4 linked regions of the Schizosaccharomyces pombe genome follow. The gene in region 1 interacts genetically with each later gene. Each region holds a gene or a part of one and is shown in the gene's direction. Other genes may lie near its edges.

The links.
Region 2: of rep2 (region 1) and res2, a mutation in one rescues a mutant of the other (synthetic rescue), as found in Schizosaccharomyces pombe (2 studies listed by BioGRID, with this or other methods).
Region 3: of rep2 (region 1) and res1, extra expression of one rescues a mutant of the other (dosage rescue), as found in Schizosaccharomyces pombe (3 studies listed by BioGRID, with this or other methods).
Region 4: mutations in rep2 (region 1) and pas1 are lethal when combined (synthetic lethality), as found in Schizosaccharomyces pombe (one study listed by BioGRID).

What each region holds. Positions count from the first base shown.
Region 1 is NC_003423.3:1,715,468-1,720,319, forward strand, and holds rep2 (transcriptional activator MBF subunit Rep2), read left to right. Parts: upstream 1-2,235; 5' UTR 2,236-2,756; coding exon 2,757-3,416; 3' UTR 3,417-3,855; downstream 3,856-4,852. Other genes in the region: mrpl35 (mitochondrial ribosomal protein subunit L35), read right to left, coding at 4,084-4,852. UniProt on the Schizosaccharomyces pombe protein: Transcriptional activator which interacts with the mcb binding subunit complex formed by res2 and cdc10. Rep2 is required for the mitotic cell cycle start.
Region 2 is NC_003424.3:684,620-690,799, forward strand, and holds res2 (MBF transcription factor complex subunit Res2), read left to right. Parts: upstream 1-1,915; 5' UTR 1,916-1,973; coding exon 1,974-2,205; exon of another isoform or gene 2,206-2,369; coding exon 2,370-4,111; 3' UTR 4,112-4,560; downstream 4,561-6,180. Other genes in the region: glutamate-cysteine ligase Gcs1, read left to right, coding at 1-1,651; ATP-dependent RNA helicase Rok1, read left to right, coding at 4,864-6,180.
Region 3 is NC_003423.3:1,229,833-1,236,371, forward strand, and holds res1 (MBF transcription factor complex subunit Res1), read left to right. Parts: upstream 1-2,753; 5' UTR 2,754-3,502; coding exon 3,503-3,728; intron 3,729-3,855; coding exon 3,856-5,543; 3' UTR 5,544-5,755; downstream 5,756-6,539. Other genes in the region: acetylglutamate synthase Arg6, read left to right, coding at 1-961; orotate phosphoribosyltransferase Ura5, read left to right, coding at 1,247-1,894; RNA polymerase I transcription factor subunit Rrn11, read right to left, coding at 5,819-6,064, 6,179-6,535. UniProt on the Schizosaccharomyces pombe protein: Acts as a positive regulator of the mitotic cell cycle and as a negative regulator of sexual differentiation. May be involved in the transcriptional regulation of the cdc22 and cdt1 genes. Is an integral component of the DSC1-like complex.
Region 4 is NC_003424.3:1,358,867-1,365,032, forward strand, and holds pas1 (cyclin Pas1), read left to right. Parts: upstream 1-2,266; 5' UTR 2,267-3,704; coding exon 3,705-4,940; 3' UTR 4,941-5,308; downstream 5,309-6,166. Other genes in the region: serine/threonine protein kinase Cdr2, read left to right, coding at 5,980-6,166.

The sequences.
Region 1 (4,852 bases):
TAATTATAAAACGAACCAATAATCAAGTTAACAAGTTAAACTGTTAAAAAAATGAGGGTTAACGATAAAATGTAGGTAGGTGCGGAAAGGATTGATGGTTCCAATTAGTACATCTTGGTGCCAGAACACAGAGTCAACCTCATAAACTCACATATTTAAGTATATTAATAAGACGGTTAAGTGAAAGATATTCGTATTATTAAAAAAATGCTCCTTTATCGTTTTTGGTATGTATCATTTTAAATTAATCTTACTGAACGAGATTAACGCTAATAATATAAATTAATTGTTGTCAAATAATTTAAGGACGGAATCATTGTCAGATTGATTCTTCTTCAAAAACTAAAGCTATCTCCTTATAAGCTATTGGGGAATCTCTTTCAAACATGGTATAAATGCGTCCATGGCATACTCGGAGCAATAATAGTATAGCGATCAAAGTTAATAATGAAGATGCATTTGCTTGTACTTATATAAATTCTTATGGTTGTTGAGATAAGGGAACAATTTTATACTGAGTTACATATGTTCTATCCTTCATCAGTATTCTCTACAAACGCGAAAATTCCTTGTCCATTTAAGCAATTCGTATTACAAAGCTCTATGTTCATATTATACGAAGGACGTTGAAAGTTTTTAATTGATTCTGACAATGACTTACAGATAGAATATGATGGTTTGAGTTATTGAAAATGCTAAATCGTCTTTTCAAGTAATTGATGAACTAAAACAGTTTCTTATACATTATATTTCAGAAAGTACTTTAAAGATACTCTGCTTTCTTCCTTGTTTTTTTTTTTTTTTCTTTTTTTTTTTTTTTGGAATACTAATACCGAGAAAACTTTCGTCAAATTTTATGGGCCTAATAATAATCTTATGAAATTAAGGTGCACTTAACCGAGCTATACTTTAAAGATTACAATTATCACAACTGAACACAACATTATATTGTTGGGGTAAACCTTTAAATTTCATGCATTTGAAGAAAATTGATTGCATTAGCTTAAAATATAGCTCACTTAGTGACTGGATGATCATCATAATATTATGTCGAGTTTTGTTTATTAGTCTTCCACTGTGAGCTGTTCAAAACTAAGATTATTTAACGTATTTTCATTGGCATAGTGTTGGAGGAAGTTAAAAATAATAAGCAAAGTAACCTCTGGAAGGATAAAACTGTCTATAAAAATAGCAATTACGCTACAAAAGTTTATAGCTTTTACGGCTTTAATGCTATTCTCATTTACAGGTACTAAGACTCCTTTGGATGCTTAGTTACAGTGATAGGGCATAATTAGAATCTTCAATAAAATAGGGGTTTGAAAAACTAAACTACTTGTGAGAAAGAATTAAGCCTTACGTCTCTTTGAGTGAATTCCCTTTTCTGCTTTGTTAATCCATAATCTGCTGTATTTGACTTCAAAATACAACTTTAATTGATTTACTTTTAAAAAGTTGATTGATTGGTAAATTGAAAGTTTTTGCTGGACTTCTGCTTATTTTCACAACAATTATATTATAAAGGGTTAAGTGGTGTGCAATTGGTTTTTAAGAGTTTGAAGCAAGCTCCATGTTAATTCTAATTAAAATAAAATAGAGTGATTAATTTTAAATGGAACGGAGCAATGCTAAGCTAAATATTGAAGATTGGGTCTCGTTAAGAAAGGTTTGTGGTGCAATTTGTTTACAAGGCTTTAATGTGATAAACGGTTGACGAATGAATGAAACCAAATGGAAAACAACTTCCAAAATATTTAATAAATTTTTTAAAATTTGTTTCGCTACGATAGTCAATGAATTGACCCAATGCAGGAGAAATTTGTTGTTTCAGTAGCATTTCTGGATTTCGAGAAACAGATACATTTTAATTAATTTAATGTGTCGCCTTATTTTTTTAAACATGTAAATGACTTTTTTTCTTATGCATATTCTTTTTTTGAGAAGTTATCAATGTTTTAATTAAGTATGGTTGCTATGAGGCATGTAAACAAATGGCAACCAATTCATGTGGTAGGTGAGCAACTTGGTAATAGAAAAAAAAGTACGGTGCAAGGATATGGTAACAGTTGAGTAGCTTAAAATGTAAAAAACAACTTAAGTAACTTTTGTTTTGTTTTAATCCGTAGGATTTTATTCTCTCGGTTACTTAGCAGCCATCACATTAGTAACATACTTGTTACCTTTACCCACTGTACTTCTTATTTTCTCACCTTCTTTTCCTTGGTTCCATTTCTCGACCACTATCTCTTTCCCATTTTATCGCAAACTTATTTTTCAATACTACTTTGTGAACTACATTAAGCCTTTTGCTTTCGTTCTTCTTAGTAGTGCTTCTCTCTCTTCGGACATTGATCACTCGTTTTTTGGAAGTTCGATTTTGCGGGAAAGTTGAGATACACCATTTAATAAAGAGACTATTTGATTAATATTATAGTCAATTTTCGATCAATTCTGTGTTTTTTGTCCATTTCGCACCCACTTTTCCGTTGGTTTGTGAGACTATAGCTTTAAAAGTGAACATCTGTGTAACAGGAGTGATTGAAACTATCGTTTTTGGTTTTGATTATTTGTTTTTCTTTCCTTTCAATTTTGTTTTTTTGTGTTTAATTCGCACTTTTTGGAAGCTTCTGCTAGCTGTGTTCATCGCCCTTATCAGAAGCCTTAATCTTTTCGTTTGTTGGATTTAATTATTTATTTTGCTCGAACAATAGTAATCGTGGTATCCTGTCTCCTCTCTTTGACTAAAATCCAAAGCCATGCATTTTGCAGACATTCCTCTTAGCAAGCCATGTCTGAACAACCCCCCAACATATCCATGGTCATCCCCAATTTTATCCAGTATTGCTAATCCTTCACTATGTGATATTGTATCTTCTCCATCATCTGTTTCTTCCTTTGCTTCCTCGGATGATTTTGCATTCATGAACGCATATTGTCTGCCCATACAACAAAACCACCAATTTGGTAGTCCAGTTGCTGCTTCGCCAAACCAACAACCGCTCGTAGAAAGCCAAAATCGCCGGAATGTCACTTATGCTTCTTTAGTCATAGGAAAACTTGGAATTGCTCAACTCATTCGTCAACAAACTGATCCTCCTCAAATTATCCATAGAAAGCAAGACAAGGGCTTAATGGCAAGGGTCTTGTCTAGATCCAAGAAGCAAGAGGAGAGAGAGAATCACTCTTCTGATGCTCGTGATGCTATTAAATCTGCCCTTCGAAGGAGAATGCGCCGTCGTGAAGGCCGTGTTCAAAAGGCTTTAAGGCCCACCCCTAACTTAATTTGCTCAAAATGCAATACCACGTTCAACCATTCAACGGCTCTTATGATGCATGAAGCAACCTGCTTGAATCAAGTTCCCTTTAAGCTTTCGGACTTTTTTGTTGAGGACGTGATAGATGACTGGCTCTTTTAATATTTCCGTTCATACAAAGAAGCAGCTTTCGTATCTAGTAGCATTACGGATATGTAATAATTATCGCTTATTAATGACGCTGGTTATATAAAGCGTATTAAAATTTTGCTCAGTCGTTTTACTCTTGAGAGCTTCATCACTTCTTTTAGAGAAGTTATTTTGAGATCATAGTATAATTTACTACATCAATTAGGTAATCAAGAAATATAGTTTGAAATGATAGAAGACTGCTCTTATAACCTTGTTTTAGGAAACGATCATCTATGCACTTTTTTCTATGTTTTGCTATCAAATATCACTATTACAGACACTATCTTTTTATTTTCGCGAAAGCTATAATGAAATATATTACAATACAGCTCACACTTCATCTAGATTGAGCAAACATACTGTAAAGAGGAAACACCAGTTCTAAAGTTACAACTGACTTTAGTTTAAGGCATAGGATAGGCATTTTATTCACAGATTTGCAATTGATTTAATAAGAGGAAAGTAAAATAGGACTATGGAACAAGGCTATCGTCTTAAAAAAACCTAAGAAGGGAAATCATGTAAAAGATAAACTATTTTGACACGAGAGGAGGGAAGCAATGCATGCTAATGTTTTGAAACATGGAATGAAAAAATGACTTATAAAAACAATATTTTAGGGGCTCTTTTAGTAGTTTCATGCAGGGATACGTTCTACACGGATATCTCGATATTCGTGTACAGACGGGTGCTTGGATAATAATGCAACTGCGTCCGAATCCCAGCCACTTCTCCAAAGATGAGCGCCAACAGGTTCAAGATCATAGATTGAGCAAAACTCAGAGAGGTCAAATCGTTCGCGGACAAGTGCATTAGAAGGAATACTAATACTAGATGACTTTTGCCGCAAAACAAGGGTTAAGATACGGTGTTTATCTTCTCCACGGTGAACAATAGGAGGCCGATATTGAAAGAAAGCTTTAGAAGTATCAATGGGCACACGTTTGGATGCTTCAATGGGGATATTCGTTAAAAGCCAGTTGCAATGAGTCTCAAACCGGTTTGTTTCGTAATTCGGGACATCCAAATCTAGTGTTATAACTGAATAATGATTCTTTTTACAATTAAAGGGTAAAACTGATAGCCACGGGGTCTTTACAGTAACCGTACTTGGCAAGATAGTGCCAGGAGTGATAGAATCATTATTTTCGGGGTTAAATCCTAACTGTACGTCGACAGATGGCGAAAATGAGCCAATCCCAGAGTCCTTTATTACTTTCATCTGCTCCAATCTTTGTAAAAGAAGCAATTTTTGATAATCTTCCCACTGTTGCTTAAGCATGTAAAGGAACACCGGATTCGTGTAGTCGATCTCCTTTTTATGAAATTTAGAGCGTACTTCCGGTAAATTAATTTGTGATAAAACCTGTAACCGTTCTATTTCTGGGGAAGTTTCACTTGGGTTT
Region 2 (6,180 bases), on another chromosome or scaffold:
TGTCGAACGCATAGGAGGAAATTCAAACAAAGATACTATAGAAATTACGAGTTCCACCAAACCACATGCGCAGAACGCGGTCCCTACTTTCCATCCAGAATATGGTCGTTATATGTTGGAAAGTACACCAGGTGCGCCTTATGGTTCCACTTTAAAGGATTTTACTTTTGTAGAGTACAATATGCGATTAAGAAGAAAAATTATTGAAAACCATTTACTACCCAATGAGCTACCTTTAACAATTACTAATTTCTTTCGTCTTGGAACACCAGGCTTTACGGATCCAGAAGTCGAAGCCAATGGTGCAATTTCGCGATCTTTTTTCTTACCGGACGATGTTATCAACACACATGTTCGTTTCCCGACCTTGACTGCTAATATTCGTCAAAGGCGCGGGAGAAAAGTGGCCATGAATGTTCCGATTTTCTTCGATAAAAATACAATTAAACCATTTCACGATCCTACCGTTCCTTGGGATAGAAATTTGTTTCCTGAAGATGCAAATGCACGAGATGGTGCAGCGTTAGACAATCATATTTACATGGACAGTATGGGTTTCGGTATGGGATGCTGTTGTCTACAAATTACATTCCAAGCTAAAAGTTGTGATGAAGCTAGACTTTTATACGATCAGTTGACTCCTATTACCCCCTTGATGCTGGCATTATCTGCCGGAACTCCAGCATTTCGAGGCTATTTGGCTGATCAAGATTGTAGATGGAATGTGATTGCTGGTGCTGTCGATGATCGAACCGAGGAAGAAATGAAAACTGTGCCAAAATCAAGGTATGATTCTGTTGACTTATATATCTCGAATGACAAGCGCAATTTACCGGAATATAATGACGTCCCGGTCGTTATAAATCAAGATTGCTACGATAAGCTAATAAAAGATTGCATTGATGAAAGATTGGCTAAGCACATGGCTCACATATTCTCTCGTGATCCTTTGGTTATTTTCAGTGACAGCATTTTACAAGACAACAGTGTATCCAATGCTCATTTTGAGAACCTAAACTCAACTAACTGGCAATCTATGCGCTTTAAACCTCCTCCACCAGGTAGTGATATTGGTTGGCGTGTAGAATTTAGATCAATGGAAATTCAAATAACTGATTTTGAAAATGCGGCATATTCAATTTTTGTTGTGATGCTTTCTCGTGCAATTCTATCCTTCAATTTGAATCTGTACATGCCGATATCGCTAGTGGATGAAAACATGAAAGCTGCTCATGCTCGTGATGCCATTCATCGTAAAAAGTTTTGGTTCCGTTGCAATCCATTTCCTGACGCAAGTACTGATGATGAATCTGGTCAGTTCCGTCAACTTACAATTGACGAGTTATTTAATGGTGAGCACCGTGAAAACGGATTCCCAGGTTTAATTACCATTGTTCGAAGCTATTTATACTCTTGTAATCCTGATGCCAAAACTATTTGCCTAATTGAACGTTATATTCGCCTAATTTCTCAAAGAGCAAATGGCCAATGCTTGACTGCTGCTTCGTGGATACGCAATTTCATTACAACTCATCCTTCTTATAAGCAAGACAGCGTGGTCAACGACGAAATTAATTATGATTTAATTAGAAGAATAGCAAAAATTGTAGATGGCGACTACGACGATACGTTACTTGGAAAATGCTCATAATGCAGATGAATTCTGAGTGGAATATATATAAGATTTTTTTCTACTTAATAACATATCTAAAATTTTGGTAATTTAAATTCCTTTGCAATTCAGTATTACAAGTGTAGTTCTTTGGCAACTGAGACTTCCCATTGATTCCTTTCATTAAGTGAATACTCATTATTTAATTAGTGCTAATATATATTCAGTAACTACATAGTTGATTTTCTGTATTGCCCCACCCTTCCCTATTGTTATGTGTATACGCAGGTAGGGTGAGCGAACGCAATGCATGCACCCTTTTAAGAGTCCGCGCTACGCATTTTAACTGCCTTTTGCTGTAATGGCTCCACGTTCTTCCGCAGTACATGTTGCCGTTTATTCTGGGGTTGAAGTCTATGAATGCTTTATTAAAGGTGTCTCTGTGATGCGCAGACGCCGCGATTCCTGGTTGAATGCTACACAAATCTTGAAAGTGGCTGACTTTGACAAACCACAAAGGACAAGGGTTTTAGAAAGACAAGTACAGATTGGTGCGCATGAAAAAGTACAAGGTGGATATGGAAAATATCAGGGTAAGTTGTCTACTGTTACGCGTTGTGACATGATTTGCTATCTTTGAACAACGCGAACAATTGAGTGTTTACTAAGCCAAATCGAGGTATTTTAATACCTTTTTGTATTAAATATCTCTATGGACGCGTCCTCTAAATGATTGACGGTATTAACCAAACTATAGGAACTTGGGTTCCATTTCAGCGTGGGGTCGACCTGGCCACAAAGTATAAGGTTGACGGAATAATGAGCCCAATATTGAGTCTTGACATTGATGAGGGAAAAGCAATTGCTCCAAAGAAGAAGCAGACCAAGCAGAAAAAGCCTTCTGTACGTGGCCGTAGAGGCCGTAAACCGTCGTCACTTTCTAGTAGCACTTTGCATTCCGTCAATGAAAAACAACCGAATTCTTCTATATCACCAACAATTGAGTCATCTATGAATAAAGTGAATTTGCCTGGTGCAGAGGAGCAAGTTTCTGCAACACCTCTGCCAGCGTCTCCTAATGCACTGCTATCACCAAATGATAACACTATAAAACCTGTTGAAGAGTTAGGCATGTTGGAGGCACCGCTTGACAAATATGAAGAGTCACTACTTGACTTCTTTCTTCACCCAGAAGAGGGACGCATTCCTTCCTTCCTGTATTCGCCGCCCCCGGATTTTCAAGTTAACAGTGTTATTGATGATGATGGCCACACTTCTCTTCATTGGGCATGCTCAATGGGACATATAGAGATGATTAAGTTATTACTGAGAGCCAATGCTGACATTGGCGTGTGTAACAGACTGAGTCAAACACCATTGATGAGGAGTGTTATCTTTACCAATAATTATGACTGCCAAACTTTTGGACAAGTGCTTGAGCTTCTCCAGTCTACTATTTATGCTGTTGACACCAATGGTCAGTCAATTTTTCATCATATTGTGCAATCAACCTCAACTCCTTCAAAAGTTGCAGCGGCCAAATACTATTTGGATTGCATATTAGAGAAACTAATATCGATTCAACCATTTGAAAATGTTGTGAGATTGGTAAATCTACAAGATTCAAATGGAGATACCTCTCTATTAATTGCTGCTCGAAATGGAGCCATGGATTGTGTAAACTCTTTATTAAGTTATAACGCCAATCCTTCTATTCCTAACCGACAAAGACGTACAGCTTCCGAGTATCTTTTGGAAGCTGACAAAAAGCCACATTCATTGTTACAGTCAAACTCAAATGCTTCGCATAGTGCTTTTTCATTTTCCGGAATAAGCCCTGCTATTATCTCGCCATCATGCTCATCGCATGCTTTTGTTAAGGCAATTCCTTCAATATCTTCGAAATTTTCTCAATTAGCAGAGGAGTATGAATCTCAGCTTCGAGAAAAAGAAGAAGATTTGATTAGAGCGAATCGTCTCAAGCAAGACACGCTTAATGAAATTTCCAGAACTTATCAGGAATTGACCTTTCTGCAGAAAAATAACCCCACTTATAGTCAATCTATGGAAAACTTGATTCGAGAGGCCCAAGAAACTTACCAGCAGCTTTCGAAGAGGTTACTAATATGGTTGGAAGCACGACAAATCTTTGATTTAGAGAGAAGCCTCAAGCCACATACTTCATTATCTATTAGTTTTCCTTCCGACTTTTTAAAAAAGGAAGACGGACTTTCGTTAAATAACGATTTTAAAAAGCCGGCTTGCAACAACGTGACCAATTCTGATGAATATGAGCAATTAATTAATAAGTTAACTTCTCTCCAAGCTTCCCGCAAAAAAGATACTTTGTATATTAGAAAATTGTATGAAGAACTAGGAATTGATGATACAGTTAATAGTTACCGTCGTCTTATTGCAATGAGTTGTGGCATCAACCCTGAAGATTTGAGTTTGGAAATACTCGATGCTGTGGAAGAAGCATTAACCCGAGAAAAATGAATCTTGGAAACTTTCATTTACATCTTGTCTTAATGTTACGTTCTTTATTTAATGATACGAGTTATGATAGTTAATGATTTTATCCATGACACTCACTGTCAAACTGCATTTATCAACGTTATCATACTTTGATAGAAAAACACGAGTTATTTTATATATTATTTTCGAATGGAATCAAGTGGAAAAAACATATATTGCTCCTTCCTAACAAAACTATTATGTTACTTATTTATGCGCAGCTAAAACAATCTACTATTGTAAAATGATTTATCTCATTTACAGCGCGTGCTTCCATTCATGATTCATCCTTTTTGCATTCGCACGTTAATGATCATCTAAAGGATACCAAGTTACTGAGCTTCACTTTAATTTGAGGGTCCTGTTCAAATAGGTAAAAGAGTGATTAATACAAATAATCAATTATTTAATTGAAAGAAAATCTATAGCAGTATTTCTCGTAAATACGATATAAAAATATGTAACCTATAAACGCAGAAATCGCGTTTTTTTGAATACATTTATTATGTTTACTTAGCATACATAAATTTAATAACGCTGTTGGAATACACAATTTGAATTAACGTACTGGTTTAACTAGAGGACGTTAGTGCAGCCTTTCCCCAGCAGCTACCATACTTACTTTAGTCGTGTATATGTATAATTGAAAATTTCAACAATCTTTTATTTTTGTTCCTTCGTTGAAATATCTACTAAAATATTTTAACTTTGATAATTAAGTATTGCATAAGGAAATGGATGCGTTGAAACTTTTGACAACTAATGTCAAATTTAAGAATAAAGTACCTCAACCTTCTATAAAAGAAAAAGAAGCAAAAAAATTACAAGGTATTACTAAGGGAAAAGCTAAAGTTACTGGTAATAATCCTGTTGATCCAATTGAAGAGTTTCCGGAAGGAATACTTTGTGAAAACTTAAAAAAACAAAACATAACAGAATGTACCACAATTCAAAGATATGCCATTCCAACGATAGGTTCTAAACGAGACCTATTGGCATGTGCACCAACTGGTTCTGGAAAAACTATTGCATATCTATTCCCAATTTTGCAAAAACTTCAGTTACATGTTCCGGGTGGATATAGAGCGATTATCGTAGCGCCGACTAGAGAACTGTGCGAGCAAATATATAGACAGGCAGAAAAGCTGTCTTTTGGAACTTCATTGAAGATAATTGAATTAAGTAAATCTAATGAAAAAATTCAAGAAAAAGCGCCCAAGCTCCGGGAAAAGTATGACATGTGCATAGGCACCCCGATGAGATTAGTACAAGCAATACAAACCGGATTGTCCTTTGAAAAAGTAGAATTCTTTGTTATGGATGAAGCTGATAGACTTTTTGAGCCTGGCTTTATTGAACAAACTGATCATATTCTAAGTGCATGCACCAGCTCTAATATTTGTAAAAGCCTTTTTTCCGCTACTATTCCATCACGCGTCGAAGAGTTAGCTAAAGTCGTAACGGTTGATCCGATTCGAATCATCGTTGGTTTGAAAGATGCAGCCACGGATAGCATCGATCAGAGACTCTTGTTTGTTGGTTCGGATACTTCCAAAATTGTGATTTTGCGTCAAATGATTTCAAATGGAGAGTTAAAGCCTCGAGTCGTAATATTTGTTCAAGATATAGAAAGAGCGAAAGCATTGTACACAGAACTCTTATTTGATGAAATTCACGTTGGTGTCATTCATGGAGAATTACCACAAGCCAAGCGCGAAGAAGCACTTGCGAAATTTCGGAAGGGTGAAATTTGGGTTTTAATAGCAACAGATCTTCTTGCTCGTGGTATCGATTTTCATGGTGTAAAGATGGTCATCAACTTTGACTTTCCTCAAAGTGTTCATAGTTATATTCATCGTATCGGTCGAACTGGGCGTGCAGGAAATACAGGACAGGCCGTTACTTTTTTTACAAAGGAAGATGGTGAATATATCAAGCTTATTGCTGGTGTAATGCGTTCATCAGGTTGCGAGGTTCCAAACTGGGTTATGGCACTTCCTAAACCTAGTAAAGAAATGAAAAAGAAGTTGAAGAAGAGTCCTCCTAAAAGA
Region 3 (6,539 bases), 490 kb from region 1:
AAGCTCGATTTTAATGCCCAACGTCATTGAGGTTCCAATTGATGGTAATGAGGTTCTTGCTGGTTTAACTTACTCGTTACACAAGCCAAACTTTGGGTTTTGGGTAGACCGAATCGTCATTCTTGATAAAAATGGTGGCATGCCATGTTCTAAACGACAAACTGGTTCTAGTCATGTTCTCATCAATCTGGCTCAAGAGTTTGACGAGTTAGCGAAAACACTTCCACCTTATCATAGAAAAAATTTGATTTTGGTAAGACGCTGTTTGAAAATGTTACCGGATGATGCCTCTGCTCTAATCACTACGCCTGAGGATGCTATGCTTACAAATCCTGTCTTAGACAAAAATCCGTTAATTCACAATGTTTTGACGGATCGCTCTATTATTTCATGTTCCTTGCCGCGCGATCGATCTCCTATTACGAAAACAACTGTTTTGCGTAGCGGTGTACCGGTATATACATTCCTAGGTCCGAAATGTCTAACTGATGGCTCCGTTTCGTGGGAAAGGCTTTGGGTTTTAATTAATGACTCCTTTAAGCGAACGCTTGATATGGACGCATATTTAGATAGGTTGAAGAATTCGCTAGCTGCAGTCATTATTGCAGGGGACTATTTAGGGACAGCCATTGTAACTTATGAACAACCAGATGGAACAACGAATGAAAAGGTCCCTTATCTTGATAAGCTTGCCGTCTCACAAGGAGCCCAGGGTTCAGCAGCAATATCTGATGTTATGTTTAATGTTATGACTGATTTATTTCCCAAAGAGTTGATATGGCGCTCTCGCCTGACTAATCCAGTCAATAAATGGTACTTTGAAAGAAGTGTAGGCTCCTTAAAGTCAAGCAAAACACCTTGGAAACTTTTCTGGACTGGAGACTCACATGTCAGAAATTTGGATCGAGTGAACCAGTATATGAGCGTTATTGATAAAATTCAGCCAACATGGTTGAATTGAGTGGAAGTTAACGATTGCACTTTATCAGAGACAAGATTATTTCGCTTCTTCAAAAGCACTTGTCAAACTTTTTAATAAAAGGAAAAAAGTCCATTTTGATAGGACATTAATTCTCTTTTGCACATTAGATTATAGATTGAGTAGTTTGCCTACAAACTTGCATTTTTCTTTAGTTATGATTTTTGTTTATTCCCCCACATAACCCCCATGTAGAGCTTAGAAAAGGTGATACTAGCTTTTTTCTTTTGTGAGTATCAACGTTTATCAACAAAACTAGTAGTAAACATGTCTTATAAACTTGAGTTGTTGCGTCGTGCCTTAGAACATAATGTTTTGAAGTTTGGAACTTTCACCTTAAAATCAGGCAGAAAATCTCCATACTTCTTCAATTCTGGTAATTTCACTCATGGTGCCGATTTATGCGCTCTTGCAGAAGCCTATGCCGAGACTATTATCGCTATGAACGTTGATTTTGATGTCATATTTGGTCCTGCTTATAAGGGTATCTCTTTGGCTGCTATAACGGCCGTCAAACTTTATGAAAAAACTGGAAAGAGCTATGGATTTGCCTATAACCGCAAAGAGGCCAAGTCCCATGGTGAAGGAGGTAACCTTGTAGGCGCCGAAATGGAAGGTAAAAAGGTTTTACTTTTGGATGATGTTATTACCGCTGGAACTGCCATTCGTGAAGCAATTTCCTTCTTAGAACCTAAGCACGTAAAATTGGCTGGTATCGTCCTTTTGCTTGACCGCCAAGAGCGACTGGACCCCGAAGTAAACGAAAGTACCATTGGTAGATTGAAGAAGGAGCTTAACTTACCCGTTTCCTCCATCCTTACTTTGGACGACATTGTTGACTTTACCAAATCAGACTTAACTGCAGCTGAATCAAAGGCAATGGATGCTTACAGACAGCAGTACCAAGCCAAATGAGCTTATGGTAATGTTTCTTTTAAAAATTTGGAAGGAGGAAAGAGAATAATTGGATAAGTATCTTTTTTGGTTTTTAGCTTTGCTTTTTTAAAGAGAGTGAAGTTAGTTGGTATTTACATATGTTATAGAATTTTTTTATCTGTATATTTGTGGTGATAGATACAACTCATATTAGAAGGAATTTTCTATAAAGCGATTGCATTTAGCGGTATTCAAAAATTTCTCTATAATAGACGAAGGAAATTGGTTTACTTGTTAAGCTTTTGTTTTGCACATATCCATCTATCTTTTGATTAGTTCCGTGAATCTGTTTTTTTTGTGTTTGTTTCTTCTTTTGTGTTATTCGAATCTTTCCAAGATGACAGTTAGGAATGAAGCTACCAAAATATTGAGTTGAGGGATAATTAATGTTTCACAAAATGGTATTTGTGTATTATTTTTGTAAAAATTTGTAGGATTTGGTTTTTAGTGATGATTATTTACGTTCGAAAGACGCATATAATGGGCAATTATAAAAAATTTAGGATTTTATTTTTCAATTCTGCGACGGGTATTTATGCTCTGTGTTTGAAATACCAAATATTAAATAATGGTAAAACCTTTAAACAGAAGCCTGGTGATTAACTTTTTATTATGACAAGAAAATGTTAAGAAATTTTGGAATGTTTTTATTCTCATATTCAATGTGAATTTGAATAAGTAGTCACTGCAGTCTATAAATAAAAATGGTTTATTAGAAAAACTCGAGTTGAACAATGAAATTCTTTATCATTTATGTAATACAATTGGTTTAACATAGTGGAATCGAATGGTACAATAATTGAGTTACTAATATGTAACCTTCAAGTATTTATCGTTTACCACTAACTCACCATAAGAGAGGGTGAAAGATTTAGTTCTGTTTGTGTGAGATCTTAAAAAAGCAAGCAAATTTCCTTTTTATCAAAAAAAGGATCCGCATTTCCTGAAGCACTTTACTGTGATTTTAGGGATTTTTTTGGTGAGTAAGAAGCAGTGTTTTTCGATTTTTCTGAGATCTCGCTGTTGAAAAAATCCGGACTAAATCGGCTCCGTAGTCGATAAACCCAAATCTACAGCTTTTTGATTTAAATTATACAAATCGTGATCTGGAAAGTTTCGAAAGGTTTCTGTCCTTACATATTAAAGTTCTTGGTAGTTGAGTATCTTACATCAGCTGGTAAGATACGTGGATTTTTAGGGATAGCAGAGGTCTTTAAAAACATCTGTTTTTAACTCAAAACATAGAGTTAAATACTTTTTAATTGAAAAAATCTTTGAGGCAAACGCCGCTGAGAGAATATATCCTTTCTTTAGTGCATGCAGTTAGTATCATATGTATTTCCGACTTTATCTGCTATAAATACTCGGTTTTCAAAAACTATCGATATTTTGTAGAGGAAATTTCAATTTGCTTCTTCTTTCTCATTTGCTTCGTTTTTTTTTTTATATGATATTAATAGCTGGCGCTGTGGAGTTGAGACATTAAATTATTACAAACATTTAGAGAGACGAAACGTTGTTATTGCATCAAGTTTTGAAGCTCTTCCTTCCTTCCTTTTTTTTAAATTGCTTGCCAATAGTGCCGTTATGTATAACGACCAAATACATAAAATCACCTATTCAGGAGTGGAAGTATTTGAGTATACGATCAATGGCTTTCCTTTAATGAAACGTTGTCATGATAACTGGCTTAATGCCACGCAAATCCTTAAAATTGCAGAGCTCGATAAACCCAGGAGGACAAGGATTCTGGAGAAATTCGCTCAAAAGGGACTTCATGAAAAAATTCAAGGTGGTTGTGGAAAATATCAAGGTTTGTGTTAACTTCTTACTATATCAATAGGTTTAAAACTACTTAAATAACATAAAATTTTTGTCTCTGTTGTTTTTATTTATCAATTTATACTTTTTTGGATGCCTGTTACTAACTATTCATTCAGGAACTTGGGTACCCTCTGAAAGAGCTGTTGAACTTGCTCATGAATATAATGTTTTTGATTTAATACAACCTCTGATTGAATACTCTGGCTCTGCGTTCATGCCAATGTCTACGTTCACTCCTCAGAGCAATCGTAAGCCTACAGAAGCATATCGACGAAACAGTCCAGTAAAAAAGTCATTTTCCCGGCCTTCGCATTCTTTACTCTACCCTTACACATCTTCCAATAATATGACATCTACTTCTAGAATGTCAGGAATCCATGATGCTTTGTCTCTTCAATCTGATTTCACGCGCTCTCCCGATATGCCTTCTGATTCCTTTACGGGATCTTTGCACGATATCAAAGCTTCTCCGTTTTCTTCAAACAATTATGCGCAGTCTCTCTTGGATTACTTTTTATTACCAAATACTACACAACCTCCTGATTTCGTATATGATCGGCCATCAGATTGGGATGTTAATGCTGGCATTGATGAGGATGGTCATACAGCACTTCATTGGGCTGCTGCAATGGGAAATTTGGAAATGATGCATGCACTATTGCAAGCAGGCGCCAACGTAGTTGCTGTCAATTACCTTCAACAAACATCTTTGATGCGCTGTGTAATGTTTACCATGAACTATGATTTACAGACTTTTGAGGTAGTTTCGGAGTTGCTTCAATCTGCTATCTGCATGAACGACTCTTTTGGCCAAACCGTCTTTCACCACATCGCATTATTAGCTTCTTCTAAATCAAAGATGGAAGCCGCTCGTTATTATATGGATATCTTATTGCAAAATTTAACTGCAACACAATCCGTTGATGTCGCTGCCCAAATTATAAACCTTCAGGATGATCATGGGGATACCGCTCTTTTGATCTGCGCTAGAAATGGTGCAAAGAAATGCGCGAGATTATTATTATCCTTTTATGCATCATCCTCCATACCAAATAATCAGGGCCAATACCCAACAGATTTTTTGTCTTCGAAAGACATGTCTTTTCCCGAAAATGATGATTCCCCCTTAAATTCCAAAATCGAGGATAATTTGATAGATAACTTAAAATATCCGCAATCACTTGATGACCACTTATCGTCCAAAAAACCTATTTCTTACTTTTCTAATAAACTTACTCACCAAACCCTTCCCAATGTCTTCACTCAGCTGAGCGAACTTTCAAAATGCCATGAAGCATCTCTTGCTGAAAAACAACTAACCTATAATTTGGCAATGGAGGCGTTGGAGCAAACAGTTCGGGAAACTGAAACTTGCCAAAGATTATGGAATGAACGTACCAATAATGACGAGAACTACTTGGTAAATCAGCGGGAGGATTTGATTCACCAGTGTAAAAAATTTCTGCATACATTGAAAACTGCTAGATATTACCTTGAAACAGTTCAGCTTCATCAATTAAAAAAATACGTAACTTACTTTTCTCAAATATGGAGTACTGATGAGTTAGCTGATATCTCGGAGACCAAAAACCTTGTTGGTCATGATACTAAAACGAACCGTTCGTCTTTAAGCTCAAAACACGAAGTTGATCTTTTTACAGCTGAAAACGAAGCTGCTCGTGAAAAGCTCGTTGAGCAATTATGCTCATTGCAAGCGCAACGGAAACAGAAAATTAACGAAATTTTGAACTTGCTTTCTATGGGAATGTATAATACGATTAATACAGATCAAAGTGGATCTTAATTTTTTTGGTTTTAAATTATTATTCAAAATAATTTTTTCTTTCGTTATCTTATTTTTTGCATTCTTTATGTTTTTTATATAAATACCAACTTGAACTTATAGATATTTAACAATCTTTTTATACAGTCGTTGGCTATCTAATGATTAGTTTTAAATTTAAATTTAAATGTATCTTCCCATCTTATTATTTGCTAATATACATAATTTTTCTGATGGTCAATCTAAAATATTAAATATACTAATGTGCTTTTTGAAATGCCATGGGAATGTTAAATCTACAATTCGACGTCAATTCCTGCGTTTGAAAAGTTGTATTTCGCCTTTTCAATCCATTTAGTTCGCTCAGATTCTGAAGCTTCCTCCTTGGCAAGTTCAAAACACAACATTCCGGAATACTCATGCAATGCAGGATTCTGATTGTAGGGTGGTAACAGCAAATACTCATCAAGCAACTTCATAGCTTTATTGTATTCTTGGCGCTGAATAAGTAGCATGATATATGCTGGAAAAAAATGTTCTGCCTGTAAATGTTAGTATAGAATTGCGACATATGATTGATTTCAAATAAGAAGGGACAAAAAATTCAATACACGAAAAGATGAAAGTATAGACGTTTTGTACCAGTATACACTTACATTACGATTCGGATAAGAGTTGTTAATGGATGGACGCGCAGGATATCGAGCTATTAGTCGCTCCATATACTCTGATGAAGCTTCTGGATTAACTTTGTTCAAAATTTCAAGTCCAATGTTCCATAATTTGGAAATGTCAACACTCTTAGATCTCAACAGTAATGAAAAAGCCCTAGATGCCCTTGGGTAATCTTTGCGCAATAAGCAAAGGTGCATCAACGAACAAAGTGCATCAATATGTCTTGTTTTATACCTTCTTGATGGTAAAGGAATTGGAGGTATAACAGAAGATTCCGGGTTGGGAGCGACACTTCGCAAAGTTGAACGTTTTTCTTTAACGGTACAAGGAGAGAACATGATT
Region 4 (6,166 bases), on another chromosome or scaffold:
AGCTAAAAAATGTTTACAGATCACCGGATTTGGGCTAATTGCGTGGAATCCGTGAGTGCTGCCAAAGAGTAGCAGATGGGATGAGATGAGATGTGATGCGAATGTGAATGTGAATGTGAAAAATTGTAAGCCAAATGCTGTTTCTCACGATAAAAACTAAAGAAAAGCATACATTGAAAATTAGAAAAGATAAAACAAGAAAAACAGATTTGGTGCTTATGCGCTGGTCGGTAAAACAGTTTTCCTTGGACTGATAACAAGAGGGATGGATAAATAAACACGCTCGCTGATAACTTGTAAAAAATAATCAAAATAAGAGTAAATAAAAATGATAAAATAAAAAACAACGATAACAAGGGACGAGTGGGTGAAAGGAAATTTTATGTTTGCGTTTTCGTTGAACCAGCGCAGTACAGAAATACAGAAAGAATTGGGAAGTACAATAACAGCTGGGATGTGGGATGTGGGATTTAATGGTAGGCAGGATAGGGTAAGCAATGCTGGGACAAAGAGAAAGAGGTGAGGGGGGTGAAAAAGTTTTGTGAAAGAAAGGATTGTTTATGCTACGGTTGGAGAAGAGAGGCGAGGGGAAGTGAGGATGGCTTGGATGTAGTAAGGATAATAGGAAATTAGAAATAAAAAAAAAAAAAAATTTGGATATGATACATAAATGGTAAAAAATAAATAATAAATTAATAATCATAAATTAAAGAAAGAAAAAAAAAAGTAAAGAAAGCAACGGTGAAAGTAGTTGAGGAAACTCAAAGAAAACAAAATAAACCATAAGAAGAGGAAAAGTGTTCAATCGTAATAAGAAAAAAAGAAATCAAAATATATTTAATGAAATTATAATAGCAATAAAATAAAGATTATACTAAATTCATGAATGATAATAAATAATAAACAGAAAAATTTAAAGGGCAAAAAAGTAAATTATAAAAATTAAATTAATTATAAGGTAAAATAATTTAAAAATTTTAAAGTACAATAATAAAAATTCGAAATATTTGTTTATTCAATAAACTAATGGAGAGATTTTCCATATTCAAAGTTTTGTTTCATTACTAATTTATAAAATGATACTTTTACTTTTGATTTATTTTATAAATTTTATTTTTTGCTTTTGATTTAATGTATTAATTTTATTTTACTTTTATTTTTTCACTCTTCAAATTCTTAACCATTCGCGTCTTTTCATCGCATCGCCCATCATATTTCCTGCCCAACAACTGTATTCATCAATAATATCGCTACTTTCATCCTACATCTTTGCCTTCGCAAGTTGCGCAAGCTTGCTCGCCATTTCGAGTGCTGATGGAATCAGCGATATCGATGGAGTTAGCGATGCCATCACAGAAATTGCAATTTTACACATCACAAAGTAAAACAATTAGCAATTCTTTCAAAATATCCATCCACTCCGCTTAAAGAAATCATTTCATCTTCATACCACCCCATTATCCCACCTTCTCTGATGGATAGTGGAATCCGCCTTGAATGTCTCTCTCTCTTACTATTACTTGCTTGGCATCTGAGCTGAGCCAATCCAATGTCGCTTAAAGCAGCCCAAAACTTGGGTAACATAGCGAAGAAACGCAAAGAAAAAAAAATTTCTTATGAGGAATCAGAATCTATCGGAGCCATGAATCATGGACACCACTTTCATATTTTTGGAACAAAGCAAGAAAACCTCTAGAATAGATTGGAAGCAAATTGATCCAACTACCACATGTCCTTCATATCCCCCCCCAAACATCATTCATCTATCCCTATGAGCCTCCTTCCTCAAATCCTTTTCCGCATTGCCTTCCCCTTCGCTATACCTAGACATTACAGAATTTATCCATCCCAATCTTCCGCCCCCTCCCAATTTTCAACTGCTAAACCTTGCTCTGATCCAATTTTTCCATTGTTGAGGCCTTTCTGGATGCAGCTTTCCAAACCTTTCAACGTCCCGGCTTGACTTAACTTCCACGTCTTATCATTCACAAAATCGGCAGTCCAAGACGCCAACTTTACCGACGCGTTTTACCCCATTGAAATTATGGATGTTTGCTTTACGCAGTGGTGTGAAATCACGGTGGACTAACGTTTGATGTGCAAAGGATCTCGTTGTTGCAGATAGTGTTACCTGCCACTCTCGGTAACAAATGTGGTTGACAAGCCGCGACTGATGTTTATCTCATATAATCATAGATCTGCCACAATCACCTTTTTTTTCCATTCTTTGCATATATAACATCAGTCATCTCTCCTAAGAAGAGCCGGTCGTCCCTCTGCTAAGCAACCATACAAAACATAACGTTCATCCTTTCTTTTTTGTTACATTCGTCTTCCTTTCTTCAGCCTAGATAGAATTGGTTTGGTGTTTGTGCTATTCTCAATTTTCCTCGTTTTGGATTGTGTTTTTCTTGTTTTGTTTGGGAATCATCATTCATCCATTAACATCTTCTTTACTTTTTTTTTTCATCGTTCATCGAATCCTACTTCCTCTTGACACATAATTAGTCTGCTGGTTTCTTTCTTCCTTCCTTTAAACATTTTGTGAAGAATCTCGTAACCTACCATTCGGTGCTGCTGTATTATAAATCTAATCTATTTGATTCGCTACGGATCTTTCTCACCTTAGACCTTTACTACCTGAAGGGTTCTTTTCTTCTTCTTTAATTCTTTGTCACGATATATTATAACTTTTCATTTTCTTTTTATTTTATTTTATTCTATTTGCTTGTCTGGGTTTAGGTGCTTTGTGTTCTCTTTCTTCTATTCTTTTTTTCATTGTTCCAACTACTCTGCTGACTGCAATATCACGCCTCTTTGAATTCTCGGGAAAAGGCTTATCTACTTTTCCTTTGTTTCATTCGTCTGCTGTCGCCCTGTAGCTTTAACGTTTTCTAACTCCGTCGCTGGTTTCGTCGATTAACTTTGGGTTTCGCATACGGTTTCGTGTAATTTCAAACATTTATTTATTATTTATTTATCTATCTGTCGGTCTGTTTTCTTTGCTTATTTTCCGCATTCATCTTAGCTTATATTTCAATCGTTGAATCCCATCCCTTGCTTCATTCGTTTTTCTCTTCTGCCAACAAATTCTTCTAGAGATTGCATCTTTTATCGTCGTTAAGGAGATTGGTTAAGTAGTTTCCCTCTCATTTTTTCAATCTCTCCTTTCTAGCTTATTTTGGGTTTTTACACAGTTCAAGTTTTCCTTTTATCTGCCTGGTCCCCAAAATCTCGGTTTTGCTTTATTTTCTTTCTTCAAATTCGACTTTGTGCGCTTGAAGATTCGATTTCAAGCAATCATTATTATTTCTTACACTCTTTCTTTGGATGACTATTTTCGCCAACACATCTATCTCTTCATTTTTGCAACTTTTTAGGCTTACTAAGCTTCTTTTTCTTGTATAATAATATTAACTGATTTTGGGTACGTGTCTTCAACATGGCATACCTTTAGAGATTTCTGTTTTTTTCCAGTTAGGAGCACTGTTTAGTCAATCTACTCGTTCTCCTCATTGTGTTCGTCTTCCAATTTTTGTCATCCATTTTTACTTTTCTACTAAATTTTCGTCGAAAGCTTTCATTGTTAGCTTTTTTCCCTTTCATAAACTCGTATTTTCTTCTCTTTGAGAAAAAGCTTGCTAAAAGTTTTCATTTTTCTCCAACAGCTGCTTAAAATTTCATCTTAGATATTTCTCTACACGATGTCGAAAGTTAACATGCGAGCTTTGCTCGAGTCCTTTAGTACCGTGATTCTTTCTATCTACCCCTTGGCTAAAAGTACAAATCAACAATCACATTCGCACTCCCTTTCACTTACTCAGTTTTTGTATGAAACGATTCGCAGAAGTCGTGTCGATTACACTACGTTGCTTCTTGCTTTATATTACTTCATCCGTTTTCGTGATGCTGCTTCTTCTAAGCCTACTAACTACATTCCTCTGTTATGTGGGCGTCGTCTTTTCTTAGTCTGCTTGATGGCCGCTACAAAATTTTTACAGGATCGTAGTTTTAGCAATCGTGCTTGGTCTCGCCTATCAGGACTTCCAGTTGACAAATTACTTGTTTTGGAATATATGTTTTACCAATGCATCGATTATCGTCTTGTCGTTCCTAAACATATTTTTGCTAGATGGTCTCTTTTAGTTGGTGAATGTTGTGCTCACGCGACTGCACGTTATGATTCCACCGATCCTAATGTTGCCTCATTTGGCAGCGTCGCACAATATTGGGTCTCTTTGTTTTCTAATGTTCAATCTTCTCTAGATGATCTTTTTTCCATTGCCTGTTTAACGAAGATAGCACATCGCAGAATGAATGCTAATGCTGCTTTGAAGAATCAGGCTACGAGGAAGCCCTCCTCTTCTCCTCAAACAACTCAAGACTCATCACCTATTCTTACGATGGCACCTTCTACTCCAGTATCTGTTGGCAGTACCCCTCCATCCACTCCATCTGTTTTACCCATTGCCAAACAACTGGCTCCTATGAATGTCTGTAAAGCACATATTCAGGCTTCAAATCAGTCCCGCACTTTGACTACTGCTTCGCCACCCGAACAAATACCGCTTATGGAACCGCAAGTTTATGTAAATCCTCAAGTATTACCGGGTCGGTTGTCAAGCCTTTCTAAGCCAGTTAGTCTACCACCAACTCCTTCTTCACCAAAGGTTGGAGTATATCGGCCAATGACTTCTAAGTCCAATGGAGGTGTTGCTTACTGCTATAATGCTCAAAAATTGAACAATGCTACTGGTCCAGTTACATTTAATATGCCTTTTGCAAGCGTCTTACCACTTGCCGTATCTGTGAGTTGTGATCTGGGTACAGCGTCTGCATATGTCGCGTCCCTCCCTCAACCTTGTTCTCAAAAAAGGCATTTAGAAGAAGACTACTCATGTTTAACGGAACACAGTGCTAAGCGTCGCAGTTACTTTTAATTATCAAGCCCAATCTGCGCTGTCTTCGCCGCTTCTTTCAAAAACTATAATATTTAATGAATAATTTCATAATACTGATGCCATTTTAACAGCGGATGTCAATAAATACCGATAATGTTTTCTTTCTATTGATTTATCTATTCAAATTGTGTGGAAGATAATCATGATATGGGAAACTTGATTAGGTTTATATTACTACCTTCTTTTCATATCTAGACTTGTCAATGTTTTGATTAAAAATCAAATATTGTTGTCGTTTCTATGAATCTTTTTTTAACATTCTAATAGCAAAACGATGTATATATGGTATGAATGAATTAACGATTGGCAACTATATTTACTTATGCATCTTGTAAATTGATATCAGTAGAGCAAGGTATTCAAAAAAGATAATTTTGTTGATTTCTTATGGCCATAAACTTGTCAAATAGTCAAACTATTTAGAGATTATGTATGTGCTCATTAAGATAGTTATATATTTTAGGCAGGTGAATGTAGCCATTTGAAATCTACTACTGAGCTCCAATCCTATTTGAAGGCTCTAAGAGTCCTTTCAATCATTTTTTAACAGAGTTGTCTAAGTAATATTTTTTCAACGATTAAACTGTGAAACATTGAACTAAAATATCTTGATCATTTACAAAAGCAGTAATTGCTACACCGTACTACTAGTAGAGCCAATTTTGATTACGGTCTTTAAAACAATGTTGAATACACTAATTGTAAGCGATTTTTGTAAAAACTAATAATTATACGTATCTTCTTGAACATCACGAAAATTAACTGATATTTCCCTAAAGTACAGTTGCAAGTAGGAAGGATTAAGACAAAACAACAAATTATATACTAAAAATTTTACAAATGTTAAAATCAATTTCACATATATATTTTGTTGTAATTAAATGCACTCAAATACTATAGCTTACAAGTTTAGGGAGCATTACGGAGAACATCCCACATATGCTGTTCTATGAATGGGGTTTGGATTTGGCCATCACCACTTCACCGATTTACTGGTTCTTTTGAATAGTTGAAGTGTATGAGTACAATTTCAGAAGTTGGACCTTGGGAGCTTGGTCTTTCCTTAGGATCAGGAGGACCAAATTCATCACGTTTAGCCAAACATCGTGAAACTGGGCAATTAGCCGTAGTAAAACCGATTGTAGGATGGTCCGAGCTTACTTCGAGCCAACAGGCTAGGATAGAGGGTGAATTAGTTTTGCTTC